Linked DNA regions of Nothobranchius furzeri. The protein of the gene in region 1 interacts with the protein of each later gene in a pairwise test. Links are inferred from orthologs where the notes say so. Each region holds a gene or a part of one and is shown on either strand. Other genes may lie near its edges.

Region 1 (6,755 bases):
AGGGTGTTTCACGTTCAGCACAAGGCCAGTAATCTGAGGTTAGTCATTCTAAGTCTCACTTTTGTGTTACTACAGATCAAACAAACTATTAAAATGAAAACTGTTTTTTTTTTTTGTTTTTTTACAAAAATCATGAAAAACCTCTTTGTTCCATTGACCTGAATCACAAAGTAAATCTTCAGATGGCTACGAGGCTATTGCTTGTTTTATTTTAGGATTACTCAGCTCTATGCGGTGGGATTGTACAGTACGACACCCCCACACGCTGAAATATTTATGTGTGATTTACTTTCAGTGATATTGAACAGCAGTGCATTAACTACCTGCTCAGGTAAGAATCCACAAGGTCTCTTAAATGAGAAACGTTGGCCATAAATAGATTTAATGAAGTTTCAGGTGCAGAATCGTTTGTGAGGAAAGATTTTTCTTCTACTTCTGCTTTTTATCTTGTATAAACATCATTTTAGAGTAAATCGTAATAAACCCGAATACTTTAATGATTATAAAGTATTGTTTGTTCATGAATTGAGTTTAAATTCTAACTGAATGACCGCAGTTGTTGGTTTTTAATGACAGTGTGCTGCTGCTGGGTCTCGCTGCTCACCCCACAGGTACGACTCACCTGAGCTCATGTTTCAGCTTTAAAAGATGCGATTCAGCTCAATATTTCTGCTCTACAGGTGACCTCACAGGTGCCTGGGAGTTTACTTCTCTTAACTCCTTCACTTTCCAAAGCGGCTGCTGCATCAGGTGAGACGTCATCAGCTTTCTCTACCGATTATAAAGAACCCGCTGCTGTTATTTGGTTTTGATAGACAAGGAAACTCTTTTGTAAATATATTCAGGTTTTAAAAGTAGAGCTTCTTTCTCCACAGTGCTGTTTTGGGTTTTTTGCTGCTGTTGGTCACAGTCAGACTAAAACATGGACTGTCCCTGGAACACGTCAGAGTCTGGGGCTTTCTGTCGAAGGTATAAATAAATAAAAACACCTGTCAGGACTTTTGCTCTGAGGGAACATGAGTGATGGTTACTTCTGCTTTCTCTCAGGTTTCCGCCATGGCGCTCTCACCTTTTATGTTCAACACGAATATCAACACCAAAACTCTTTTATGGTGAGTGCTTGACCTGATTATGAGATCTATTGAGTGAAAATTAAATTTTTATTTTGATTCTCGGACATCAGGCTGCTGCTTACTAATCTTTAACGTTTGCTCCGTTTTCCCCAGCGTGATCATCAGTCACCTCGGAGAGGCCCTGCTGATTTATTCTGACAGAGATCCTCAACTTTGATAACAAATCTCAACATGTTCTAAACTTTTATGTAAACAAGATATTTTTCTACCTTTTTTTCTCTAATTTCCTATCTTTTGATAAATCTGATGATTAAATAAAACCGTGTGAACACTGATTTATTTTTATATACAGGGTATCTGCCGGTTTAAGGGAGCCAAATTTAAGACTTTTTAAGGCCACTTTGACCAAATTTAAGCAATTTTTTAAAATTACATTTAAGCTATAATTTCCAGCTATTGCCTGGAACCGGTGCCAACCACGTCACGAACGTGGGATTAGCCATCCAGCTACCATTAAACTTGCAATTCCCCATGGCGCAAGTTCCCGCTAGCTTAATCAGCTAATGTGCTCATCTAAAAAGAGCCCCCTTTCCCAGCCAACTGAATGTGTACGGTTCCGCTTACGCCAACATCGTGCACAAAAATGCTGAACACTAACTAGAAATTCACGAAATTTTTATAGAAATAAAAGAATCTTGTTTATTGGGTCTTGGGTAATTTTAGACCTTCGGAAACTATTTAAGGATTATTTGTCATTTTTAAGGATTTTTAAGGCCTTAAATTTGGAAAAGCAAGTTTAAGACTTTTTAAGGACCCGCGGATACCCTGTATATAAAACCTAGGAGATGATGAAGACAGGTTCTTGGTCAGCATCAGGTTTTTATAAGTTATTTTTATTAGACAGTGTCAATGTTTGAACTCTGCAAGAGTTCAGGGTTTTATAGAGATTTAAGGGAATAATTAGAACTAATCGGTGAGGGATGTTTCAGGTCTGCTGCTGCCGTTGCTTTGGAGAGAATAAAACATTAAACGGTTGTCGTCTCCGTGAACGAGCCTGGGGGTTCGTCTCTTCCTTGATGTAACCTGTAACACAGAATATTATAAAGCTCTAGTAAAACCACCATTAGACGAAACAAGAAGCGTTCCATTACCTCGCTCCACACACGTCTGTGTCGATGGAAATCCCACTTCCCAGAAGTTTTCAGGAGTACACGGAGGAATGTGCAGATATCGGTGTCTGGAGCAGGCAGACAGCTTTTTCTGTTTCTCCTCCTCTGGCAGATGAGCGTAGTACTAAAAGGAAGCCACAACCGTGTCAACAGCACCCAGGAATAAACACGCACCGGCTTCAGGCTCTACACACTCACAACGTCACATTCTTTACAGGTGGTGCCCTTCAGTTTTCTTCTCTCGTCCTTCTTGCGGATTACTGCCACGTGTTTAAATGTTGGCCGTCTAAAGCAGAGAAAACCGTGAGACGGGTGACGATCGGATAAACGAGGTGCAGAGTGATGGTCCTTACCCAGATCTGGATCGAGGATCTTCGTCTAAATGAAAGGAAACCAATCAGGAGATGAAGGTCAAACTCAGAATATCAGTGAAATAATGTAGGTGTTCAAAATCAATCTCTACCATGCGGTTCCTCCTCTTCATCTTGCCCTTCATCCTCTTCATCAGGCCTGCTCCGGTCTAACTGGGACTTATACTCCCCATAAGCTGTTGTGTCAAACATCATATCCAAACTGTCGTTTGCCTTCTGGCCGAGTCCTGAGAAGCGAACAGACCAGACCACCATCTTGTGTTAACGGATTATAATCCAACACCTGACTGTGGTTATTTAAAGACTTGACGGTTATTTTCACCAGACTTCGTGTCTCCTCTGCTCGGACCGTCTCCTCCTCGCCGCTGCAGCATGCTGTGGCTGACCCAAGTGCAGTCCGTGTCTGCCAGGTCTCTGTGATGCCGCTGTTCTTCTATTTCCTAAAACACAAAAGCTTTTAAGCCAATAAAACAACCCAAACATCTACACATAAAAAAAGCCAAACGACCCAGAGGCTGCACCTCGTCTCTCCTCTGCTCGCTGTTGTACACGGACAGAGCCAGTGCAGGATCGATGCTCCACGCCGGCTCCACTGTGAGCTGCTCGTCGACTGAGAACCCAGACAAGTCGAGTTTAAGGAGTGAAGAGTTTGAAATCCAACAGGATGAGATAAGGACCGTAAATGATAGGATTTCACCATCTTTTGGTTGTTTGTGTGAAGCATCCTGATCCTGCAGAGGCGTTTTTTTCTTCCCATCGGTTTCTGACTTAGATTTACTCGGCGGCTTCTTGAAATCAGAACTGAAACCAGGAGCTCTAGCTTTCTGACTGGTCCCAATGTGTTCTGCTGACTGGCCCTGGAAAATAAAACACTTATAAAAACCTGCTTTAAATCATGGCTTAACAGATGAGCTCCCTGTTTGGTCATGCCTTATTAACTGGTGGCTCACAAACAGAAGTCGCTGTTTGGTTGACGTCTCTGGGATGCTCATGTTTGCCCCCTCCCTGGATTCCTGCTTCGCAGAGTCTCTGTGAAACACTTTCGTCCTTTTTGTGTTTTGAGCTGCAGACCGAGCCTTCTTCTAAAAAGCGTTTGACAGGAGGGAGGACAGACAGGGACCTCTCCGTGGTGGAGTCTGGACTGTGGGTCAGTGTGGACACAGAGGAGCGCTCGTAGGGCCTTAAACAGGAGAAACAAACCAGCAGGGAGGAGTTTTTTAGCGCATAGTCAGATAAATGCAGGCCGGCTGCAGTTGGTCTTACTTTAAATGAGCATTGTGCTTCCAGGAACTTCTAGAGGCACGTTGATGATCTGGAGCCGTCTCCTTTACCTGGGAGCAAAATGTTTTAAACATAAAAATGTCATTATTGTACGATTATGTATCAGTGATTGGTTCCTAAACTATTTTACTTACAATGAGATTGTTAGCAAGTTCAAAGCCACAGGTATCTGGGATAGCTTCCAGCACACCTTCATTCACATCATCTGGAAAGAGACAGACACCAGACAGGTCAACTTCTGTCTGATAATAGAACTAAACCAGGAGAAGTGGACATAAATAGATTGTTTCTGATCTAAAGGAATATAAATAAAGTTATATTAAATGTAAAAAAAAAAAAAAGATTATTCTTGTTTTGATTAACTTGTATTAGAAAAGACATCTTACTGGATGTCTGGGGTGCATCCAGTTCACAAGTGTTGGGCACCAGCACTTCTGTTTTCCTGGGATTCCTTCCATCTCTAGCAGCTTTTTTGTTTTGCTCTTAAAAATAAAAACCAAACCGTTCACAACAGCGGAAATACACAGAGGAAGGTGAGGTGAGGTTTAAAATAAGCAGCAGGTGATAAAAGGTGTTTTTAAATAACTGACCGTAGAAGAGCAAGTTGTCGCGCTGCCGCGGAGACATCTCTGCATATCGGAAGTGTTTCACTTTATCACCATGTTTCCGTTTCTTCAGCTTGTTTGGGACAGGAAGTGAGCTTGGCAGGACTGGTGAGTCTGGGATGAATCCTTCCTCCTGCTCCGGGCTTCCTACCTCTGAAGTAGGGCTGCTTGATTAGGAAAATAATCATCATCACAATTATTTTGGTGGAATCTGAAATCGTTACCGACTGAGTTGGGAAACACTAAAGTGCAGCAGCTTACTGGTCATTCAAACTGATGAAGGGATAAATTATGAGACAAAAAACATTTCCTCTGAACTGCTTTAATGCTCATCACCACAGCCTTACGTCTGCTCTAGAATAAAACCCACGGACACACCAGCTAATTAAACTTAATCTACCTGAACAATCAGCCACATAAAAAAACAGGCAGCACTAGTATAAACAAGCCTGGAGGCCCAAACAAGGAGTATGTGAATATAAAATGGAACAGCCGAGCCTGGAATAGAACCGTGTAGAAAAACATAACCTCTCACCAGAGAGGCATACGCGAGGCTTATGAAGACTCATGTGCTGCAGGTGTGTTTTGCCCTCATTCTGCCATCTTATGTTGCTCTAACCTTTTAAGACCTTTGAGTAAAATGTGACAAAACAATTTTAATAGTGTTATGTTTTTATTACATTATTTTTGTAATTGGAGTTAACTAAAATACAAACTGAATTATTTATATACTTGTTTGCTCTCCACACCCTCTACAGAGCTAAACCAGGAACTGAAACGTCACTGCTGATGCAGAACAAGTCTCTGAGGCAAAGCTCCTCAGTGGAACACGGCACTTATTATAGTCAGCTTTCAAATTTAGAAGAGTTCATTTTTGTAAACCAGAAGTGAAACCTCTCCAGGAGAAACAGTGTCTATCTGAAAAGTTTTACGCAACACTGGCTGCAAAAAAAAAAAAAAGAAACTAAAATGTTAACATTTGTAATAATTTTGAAACAACAACAACCCAAAAATCTAATCAGACTTTTAAGAAGAACTTACTGAGCTGATTTTAACTGTTGCAGTTCATTCAACAGCTTTCTGTTTTCTTCCTCCAGTCTGTTTCTCTCATTTTCTGAAGGAAGACAAACCGTAAACACAATTCTCACAAAGCATGATTGTGCCCAAAAACATCTTAGCTTGTGCTGCCCTGGTCTGTGTGAAACACTCACATAAAAACAACTCTTTACTCTTTAACACCAAATAATCTAGAGCTCAGATTAATCACCGGAACAAACTCACTTAGTTTTGTGACAATATGAAGGTTCTGCTCCTGGTTGGATTTCAGCTTCTCCTCAAAAACAGCACACTGATCACGCTCTGCTGCTCGGAGTCTGGGGACAGTAAACGCCAAAACACTAATGATACACACACAGTTACTTATAATAAAGTACACAAAGATGCATGATTATAACTGGACGCTATAACAGAAGATTACAAATCAGCAGGTTCTGGGATTTTCTAGGGAATGTTCAAATATGTTTATGTTTATTTATTTAGCAGACGCTTTTATCCAAAGCGACTTACAATTTATAACCTACAGGGCATGTTGTGATCTGTGGGGGAAACTGGAGTACGCGGAGGAAACCCACGCATGCATGGGGAGAACACGCAACTCCACGCAGAAAGGCCGCAGCCGAGTTTCGAACCTGCGACCTTCGTGCTGCGAGGCAACAGTGCTAACCACTGCGCCGCCATGCAGCCCATAGTCCAATAGCTGATGGGAAGAAACTGATCTTGTGCCATGAGGTAATGGTTCTGGTGGACTGTTGTCTGTGATTACAGGGCAGCACATGAAAAGGTTATTTTCAGGGTATGAGGAGTCAAGGTGAATCTCTAGTGTGCCTCAAGTCCCTGGAGACCCACAGATCCTGGAGAGAGGCCAGATTGAAGCTGGTAATCTCTACAATACCTCTGCCACACATTTCTGGAAAATTCTTATTTTTCTAGTTTGCTTGGTTTGTAAATGATTCACTTGAGACAAATCCATACCAGTCCCAAGTACAATTAATGTTGTCAACATGATGATGATGACCCAAGTGTGTGTTTGAGTCATTTACCTTTCCTCCAGAAGACCGATCGTGTCCTGCAGAGTTTTATTTTGCTCCTTAAGCTGTTGGTTGCGATTATAGAACACCTCCAGCTTCTGTGCATCTCTGTATAATTAAAACAACTTAATGAAACAAAACAATAAAGTGAGGGAAAGCGTGCCCTACT
Region 2 (8,089 bases), on another chromosome or scaffold:
TGCTATGATTTAGGTATGTACTGCCCCTATCAAAGCAAAGTACACGCCGATACTTTACATTTAGTCAAGGTCAGAGGTTGTAATTCGACATAATAAAAGAGATAGGGCATCATTGGACAACCATAACTTGTACAATGTTTGCCAAAAAACCCCATCATGATGATCCCAAGACTTCTGAGTAAATATCCTGTGGTCTGAAGCTTGGTTTATGCTTGACGCGTTCACTTTCCACGCGGTGATGCGGCTCGCGGATGGAACGCGCTTCATAACTCGCAGTGTTTATGGTTCATGCGGCTCGTCTCTGCGGTGAACCAATATTCTCCCAAACTGTAGGGGGCAGCATGGAGCTCTACGGCAAACATCCAACACTACACCATAGTAGAAGTAGAAATTACTGTTTACAACACGGCATTTCAGCATTTTTAACAGCGTCCTCGTCTTTTCCGACAGTGCGAGCTATTTCTCTCCAAGAATTATTAACAACATGTTGATCACGGTGATCTCTGAGAGCTGAATCATACAAATGTCTGTATTTATGAACCTCTGCCATACTAGTTCTTGCCGGTCCGCCATGTTTTTCCGCGTCCGTCCGTCCGCGTGGTTAGAAATTTTCTGAGGTGCGCGTTGTGGAAATTCTGGGCCGTGCGGAGGCGCGGTGGAGGGGCGTGGTTGTTAAAATGATGCAACTTTTCCGCGCGGAGACGTGCGGACCTCGCGGACGCGTCAAGCATAAACCAACCTTTACCAGAAAAATCCAGCACTGTGTTTGAGTCAAACTGTGGCAGCAGTGTCTTGAGTGAGGTAGACAAGGTCATCCAGTTTTTGGAGGGGTTGCTGGTCCAGTCCCAGGACATTCCTAGTCATTCTACCATTGTTTCCTTGGGAAAGGCACTTCATCCAACTTGCTGACTCATTTTTGTGTAAGTCACTTGAAAGTGTCCACCAAATGCATAAACACTTACAAACATGGTGGTGGTGTTTATGTTTATGTATTTAGCAGACGCTTTTGTCCAAAGCGACTTACAAGTGATAATCGGCATGTTGCCCTTGAGGCAAACAACAACAATAACAACAACAACTTGACATCAGTCATGGAGAGGAGGGAACAAGGAGTGGACAGTAGAGAGCGGGGACGGGTGCAGGGAGGGTGCTAGTTTAGAAGACGCTCTCTAAAGAGAAGGGTCTTCAGGAGTTTCTTGAAAATTGAAAAGAAAGCCGCTGTTCTGGTAGTGCTTGGTAGGTCATTCCATGTTTGTGGAATGATGCATGGGAAGAGCCTGGATTGTCCTGACCGTGGTGTAGGCACTGCTGGCCGACAATCTTGTGATGACCGGAGCGGCCGGGCTGGGACGTAAGCCTTTGCAAGAGGATTCAGGTAGATGGGAGCCGTACCATGAAAACTGTGAGATAAAGTCAACATAAAAGAGGGCCAGATTCAAACATGTTCAGGAAACGCCAAGTGGAGGAGGTGGGTTTTTAGGCGACTCTTGAAGACTGGCAGAGATGGGGACAGCCTAACTGAGGGTGGCAACTGGTTCCATAGTGACGGTGCTAGGACTGAGAAAGCCCGGTCCCCGCGAGTACGACACCTAGAACGAGGGACAGCGAGCAGGCCTTGGTCAGAGGAGCGCAGAGCGCGTGATGGGGAATGTCTGTTCAGGAGCGTGGCCAGATAGGGGGGAGCACCACCCTGGAAGAAATTAAAAACAAAGACGAGGAGTCTGAAGTGTGAACGATAGCAAACCGGAAGCCAGTGCAGGGAGGCCAGAACCGGAATGATGTGGTCCCGTTTCCTGGTCCCAGTCAGGAACCTGGCTGCGCTGTTCTGCACAACCTGAAGGCGACACAGTGATGACTGACACAACCCTGCATAGAGAGAGCTGCAGTAATCATTGCCTCAAGAGTGCTGCAACCAGCCTGAAGGAGACGGGTTCAATCAGGGTCAGGTCAGTTAGCTCATCACCCCTTAATCTTTGAAAATATCATTTGAAAACTGGCGTTTACTGGGGTTATCTTTTATATGAAAAACATAAGCAACATTTTTCCACAGCACTGTATTATGCCAGAGAGGGCGAGATGAGCAAATATTGCAATAATTACAGCACTTCAGCCAAAAGAGACTCAGTAGGAGCTGAAACCAATGACCTTAACGTTGTAAAAGGAGCTGCTATTATCTTCAGTGACAGATGATGGCGCCACTACGCAGCTGTAGAGGTTGGAGTCACCCTCAACTAAGTAGTTATTGAATGCCAACTAATTAAACTCTGACGTGAGGTGAATGCAGCCTGCTGGATGTTGCCATGCAGCATGGAGCACGTTTGGAAACGATCGAACACCATGACGACTTGTGTATAACTTTGCATCTAGTCCATAGGTTACCTCAGCACTCGCGTTTCCCCATTTACCATTTAGGTTTACGTAAACTCATATTTATAATGCAGTTATTAAATACACCATCGCCTCTAATCCCAGAAACGTGGTTCTGGATATCTCGGATTTAAGTGTCAATGAGCTGCTTTTATCCCCGTTTTTCCTCTTGTCCCTCTCACCTCCGTTGTCTGCGTGTCCAAGTCTATCTCCCTTCCCTCCGATTGGCTGGAACTGTTATTCTCCCAAATTGACTGCATTCTGATTGGCTGCCAGGGCTCTGTCGTCACGCAGCAGGAGAGAGTTTTTACTGGAGGTTTCTTTCTGTCAGCGACACATGTAGAACCAGCTGCCAACGGGACGCGGACGCACGCAGAGATTCAGACCAGAGCAGAAAGAGACCTCTTCAGCCTCGACGTCTCCTGAACGCTTTATCTTTTTGTTTCAGCCAAAACACGCACGTGCTCTTCACGTCTTTGGGGGAACATTACGGCATGCGTGTCACCTCGCCATGAATCCCGTCGTCTTTAAAGTGGTGCCAGTAAAAGGGAAGCCTACCCGTGGAAATACTATCTGATAACTCCATTTGCTCGCCTCGCCGGGTCCTCGAGGTGCTCTCGCGCAGAGCTGGAGTCTGGAGCGCGCGCGCGCTGGTTGGTGCGTCCGCTTTGAAGCCGTTTTACTTTTCTGGCTCTGTTGAACCCTCCCTACCTGTTCATCGTCAAACTTCGGTGGCATCGTCGACCAGGGGAACGAGGTGAGTGTTTGTTGGCGTTACAGCCTAATTAAACAGGAAACTAATCGGTTTATGTTGCGTTCTTTCGCAGCGCGTGCGTTCACATCCAGTATTCACTTCATTAGCACATTTCCACGCATTTATCCCAAAAATAATAACGCCAAGAAAGTGTTTTCCCCTGCTTTCAGTGCACGAATGGGTGTTTTTCTTTTCTTTGCCCCGCTCACTCATCTCTCCCTCTTTCTCTCGCTGTCTCTCTCCCTTCTTTTTCCATGACTTGCCCAAATTGCCTGTTCGTGTAATTACTTGAGTTGGCCCATTTAGTTTAAAAGCCACCCCCCCTCTCATTCCTCCTCCCCCTCTCATCCTTCCCCAGCGAATAAAACAGAAACTCCCCCCCTCCTCACCCCTAGAGAAACTTGACGATAGCCCGCTCTGTTTATCCAGAGAGTCACTTTCACGTCGGCTTTTTTGATTCATCTCCTTTTAGATTTAATCAGCACTAAAGTACGCTGTGGTTTGTCCCTAAGAGCCATCGCTAATGGGCTTACTGAATGCCCCCCCCCCCCCCCCCATCCCTCTTCCCAACTCTAATTGGCCTACCTGGCTTTCAACAAAGATTTGGCTTCATCCCTGCAAGTCCGTCTGACCAAATTGGTGGGGATTACATCTGAATGACTTGAAATTAATTTAGTGGCTGAAACAGAATGCATAAGATTAGTAGATTGACGTCATTACAGGAGGTCTGTGGGCATCAGTTTGTAGTCTGACATGTTTTATGCCTTGGAAGTTGTCAAGTGTTGAGAACCAAACTGCAATTCCTATCTCACTACAGCCATTCATGCTGGGATTGAGACGATAAATATATGCTGAAGTCTTAATTATGGGTGTTATCAGTTGAACAGACACTGGGAAGCCCATTAATGCAACAGAACAGGACAGTAACGGACATCTAGACCAGTTTCACTCAATAATTAGTCACAAAACTAGGTATTAGTTGGTATAATTCAAAATCCGTAGCTGTGAATACATGTTGATAGTTTTTGTCTGAAATCAAAACAATCCTCCACTAGTAAATGCACGAGCACCGGCCATGTGGGTGAGTCAGGCTTGACCGTGTCTTTTCTGTGTTTTTAGAGACAATGGTGAATCCTGGAGGCAACAGCCAGCCACCAGCGGTGGGCACAGGCTCCCTGTCTTGGAAACGGTGTGCGGGTTGCGGGGGCAAAATTGCAGATCGCTTCCTCCTCTACACCATGGACAGCTACTGGCACAGCCGATGCCTCAAGTGTTCCTGCTGCCAGGCCCAGCTGGGCGACATTGGTACTTCGTGCTACACAAAAAGTGGCATGATCCTGTGCAGAAATGACTACATCAGGTGAGAGGATCGCTGAAAGCCATGTGTTTATGTAGAAGTAGCACGGGCGTAATGTTATGTTTTGATTCATTTTTCATTTAGTTATTATATTTTTATGTAACCAAAACATCCCGACTATTTTACAATATAAAAACAGCCCTGAAAGAAAAATATCTGAATGTAAAATTTATGTCAAAGAACATTCTGAACAGAATTTTGTGGGATTTTGCTGCGCCCTATCCACAGCATTACGATCTCTGAGTGTTCGTAAAGCATTAATATGATCAAATCCTTCATGATCTGGTGTCGTCCTATCAGCTGCTCCAACGCTAACGTGATTAGTGGCATTCTGCTTCAGATCTCTAGGTTAGATTTGGGCTAATTAATCAACACTCGTGTGCATAAGTAGCCTACTAACGAACAGGAAACCGTAGATGGTTTTGGAAGTCTCCCAAGTTCTCCTAGATGTTGTTGAATCAAAGTTTAAGCTACGCAGCTATGTTCTTTTTTGTCAGATGGTGAAAGAAGGATGAAAAAAAGTTATTTCTATTTAAAAAACAACTATTGTATTTCTGCATTGGCTGGAGGAAAACCATGCTGCTTGACCTTTACTCCAGGTGCCACAAAGCGTCATGCATGGTGAGATGTTGTCAAAGCAGAAAGTTTTTCAGCAGATTACCGATTACACAAGAATGAAAGACGAGGTTTAGAATTTGCTCAGCACTTTTAGCGATGACGTTTTGATCTTTCTTCACTTTAAAGAAGCTTGAAGAGGCAATCGGAGTCATAAAGTTTCGGAGTGTGCCGAACAACAAAACACTGTTTTAGAGAAGATGCTTCCGTTTACTGCATCGATTCTAGTTTTAAAGGCTGATGTTGAGTTTAGATACGTTTACAGCCGTTCTCAGATGACTACAGCAACAATATACCAGTAAAAATAATAATCTGATTAACGTGAGAAATCATGACTCTGAAAGTAAACGCTGCTCAGGGAAAATGTCGGATTTTTCTTGGCGGTGATGGAAACCATCTGTTTTTTTTGATTTTCAGATCTGTGAGTCGTACTGAATCATGGACGTAATTTTCACTTTAGAAGTGGGGGGGGGGGGGGGGGTATCTTTACAATATGTTCTAATGGGAAACCGGCTTCAACACAAACGGTTGCTTTCCGCTTGGTCCTAGAGCTCAACCAGTGTCAATTTAATATAGCGTAATATTGTTTTTGGATGGTAAAAAGTGCAGGGGTCAAAACTTGACTTTGGAAAAAGTGGGGGGGACATGTCCCCCCTGTCCCCCCCCCAAAATTATGTCCATGTACTGAATTATAGCCACTTCTGAAAGCTGGGTGGTTTTGTTGTACATCTCTAACTGAAACAACCTTTATATTTTAAGCTCTTTATTTACTAGACTAAACATTGAATTGTCCATTAAAGTTTCTAAGTTGAAGTTAAATCTTCATTGATGGTTCAGATGGTGGACCCACTCTTCTGAAACTACTGTCAAATCTGCACAGATGGTTTAAAATCAAAAGTGTGTCTGCACTCGTACCTCATAAAAAGCAGGGGGAAGTCAATGGGGTACTTCATTCATAATGGCACTATAACGTAATTAAAATTGAAATGGGGTGGGGTGGAAAGGGGGGGGGTGGGATACACCTTTCCACTTGTAATGAGAGCATGCCTGTTGGAGGAGCTAAAACACATTATGGAACCGTGCGATCTCTGTGGAGATAAAATCAGAAGTAAGGGGAGAGAAAAGAAAAACACCTGACAGTGAGTCTACACAATTAAATGCTTTAATTATAGCCCCCCTCCTTTTCCTTTAGTCCTGATGGGTTTTATCTAATGAGATCTGGTCCCTGGCTTGTATCCGCTACCAGTGACGTGTCCGAAATGAATAAGCGCCACACTGCAAACAAAACATTTAATTAACCAAATTGGCTTTTGAGAGAGCAGGAGAGAAAGACCGATATAGACGAGGGATTATTGTGAAGGCCATTTGCCGCTGTTTTTTTTTCTCTTTTCCTCCTTGATCTTAAAGGGCCAGATTCCCCATCAACAGGCAGTAGTGGAACTGTTTTGAGCTGCAGCTCTGGTTTTATATTAATGCTGTTAACGTGAAAATGCTCATCTGCTTGATCGGGGATTGCAGCCGGGCCTGGAATAACGCACTCCTCCCAGAGCCGAGCTGTCAGAAGCTTTAACTTCAAACCCAAGTTGAGCTCGCCGCAGCTGGGGCTTGTGTTGTTTTAAGCCAGAGGTGATATTATTTTCGTGGGCTGCTGGTGAAAGGAGAATTAATTTACTCATGGCTGCCGGATGCAGAGAGAATGCCATCCCCTTAATTGAATAAGCCAAGGTAATTAAATAGCACTTTTCCAATAAAACGTGCGAGGTAAATCTAATAGTTGGTTATTTAATATCACTTTGAAGTCTGCCCACTCGAGCACTGTGACAGCACCAGAGAACGTGAACTATTAGGCCAGAAAAAAAAAGGATCTCAGAAATTAATTAAATCGCATGCAATTTAGAGGAAACGTTTATCTTGATTTGTCATATCAGAATTAATTCAAGGCCTTCAATTCACTTGGGGCCAGATCTGTTACTCTGAATTAACCAAGTGTAATTTGGCTGATCTCCCCCCTCCCAACACCACAACCATCCTCCACACACACACACCACCACACCTTCTCCTACTTACACACACCTCCCCATCCCCCTCCTTGCTCCCAAAACACACGCACATACACAACACAGATCCACGTCAGCCCTCTCATCCTCCCAATCCCCCGCCTCACCCCATCCCTTCCACCCTCTCCTCTAATGCTGCTCTTGCCATTATGCAAAGCCCCGCTTCAGTATCAATATGGCCTAGTGCTTTTAAGGTGCTTTGGCTGCTGATGTAGAGAGGCATTTTTAATGGACTGTGTTGCAGAAATCATTGTTGTGGGGGTAATTTTACTCTACTCAAAGGTCTCAGTGAATGAGGTCTGCATTTACCAGACAGCCCAGCAGCAAGCCATGCTATATTTCTCCCAGCAGTCAGTGCTGAAATGAAATCCAATTGTCATTGCCTGTATAGTCAACAGACAGCTCTGATTGTTTTCTTTTGCTGTTGTTTATTTTTTTATTATTAATTTAAATCATCCGATTAAGGAGAACCGATTAAACCGTCCTACACAAATGTTGTCAGTTTATTTGTTAGCTTTTATTCATTTTTAGTGGACAGATTCAGAACCCAGATGTCTCGTTATAATTAAGAGTCCCGTGGCCTTAACTGCACTGACCCGTGGTGTTGGCGTCACCTCAGCGCTGTAGTTCACCGACAGAAGAGGCCATTACGGCCCAAGTTCAAAACGTTACAGCAACTTAATTGAGCACCTAAAGGCTTCGGTTCCTTAAATCAAATGCCATCAAGAGCTATTCCCCTGGTAAAATAATTAACCTGCTATGTGTTTAACACTGCGCCGTGATATAAAAGGCAGCGGTTCAAAACATGTCATTGGCTTTGTTTCAGCACCTCTCCAAACCTTTCACGCTGAGGAGACTCCTTCAGGGGCTTAAGGCTTTGAGTAGAACTTTTTTTTAATTGCGCCACATTTGTGTGCGTGTGTGTGTGTGTGTGTGTGT

What was found.
Region 2: the proteins of rbbp8 (region 1) and lmo4b interact in binary tests that used the Homo sapiens proteins (3 or more experiments, as listed by UniProt). The link is inferred for Nothobranchius furzeri from reciprocal best matches to the Homo sapiens genes RBBP8 and LMO4.

What each region holds. Positions count from the first base shown.
Region 1 is NC_091747.1:41,222,538-41,229,292, forward strand, and holds the end of rbbp8 (DNA endonuclease RBBP8), read right to left. Parts: intron 6,695-6,755; coding exon 6,599-6,694; intron 5,873-6,598; coding exon 5,781-5,872; intron 5,614-5,780; coding exon 5,541-5,613; intron 4,667-5,540; coding exon 4,485-4,666; intron 4,377-4,484; coding exon 4,281-4,376; intron 4,100-4,280; coding exon 4,029-4,099; intron 3,945-4,028; coding exon 3,877-3,944; intron 3,794-3,876; coding exon 3,544-3,793; intron 3,471-3,543; coding exon 3,311-3,470; intron 3,224-3,310; coding exon 3,135-3,223; intron 3,054-3,134; coding exon 2,936-3,053; intron 2,841-2,935; coding exon 2,706-2,840; intron 2,621-2,705; coding exon 2,596-2,620; intron 2,529-2,595; coding exon 2,441-2,528; intron 2,367-2,440; coding exon 2,225-2,366; intron 2,157-2,224; coding exon 2,059-2,156; 3' UTR 1,946-2,058; downstream 1-1,945. Other genes in the region: UDP-N-acetylglucosamine transporter TMEM241 homolog, read left to right, coding at 1-38, 296-331, 577-611, 681-750, 876-969, 1,048-1,112, 1,227-1,290. UniProt on the Homo sapiens protein: Endonuclease that cooperates with the MRE11-RAD50-NBN (MRN) complex in DNA-end resection, the first step of double-strand break (DSB) repair through the homologous recombination (HR) pathway.
Region 2 is NC_091756.1:59,557,625-59,565,713, reverse strand, and holds the start of lmo4b (LIM domain transcription factor LMO4b), read left to right. Parts: upstream 1-2,895; 5' UTR 2,896-3,124; intron 3,125-4,240; 5' UTR 4,241-4,245; coding exon 4,246-4,481; intron 4,482-8,089. UniProt on the Homo sapiens protein: Transcription cofactor. Plays a role in establishing motor neuron identity, in concert with MNX1, acting, at least in part, to disrupt LDB1-LHX3 complexes thereby negatively modulating interneuron genes in motor neurons.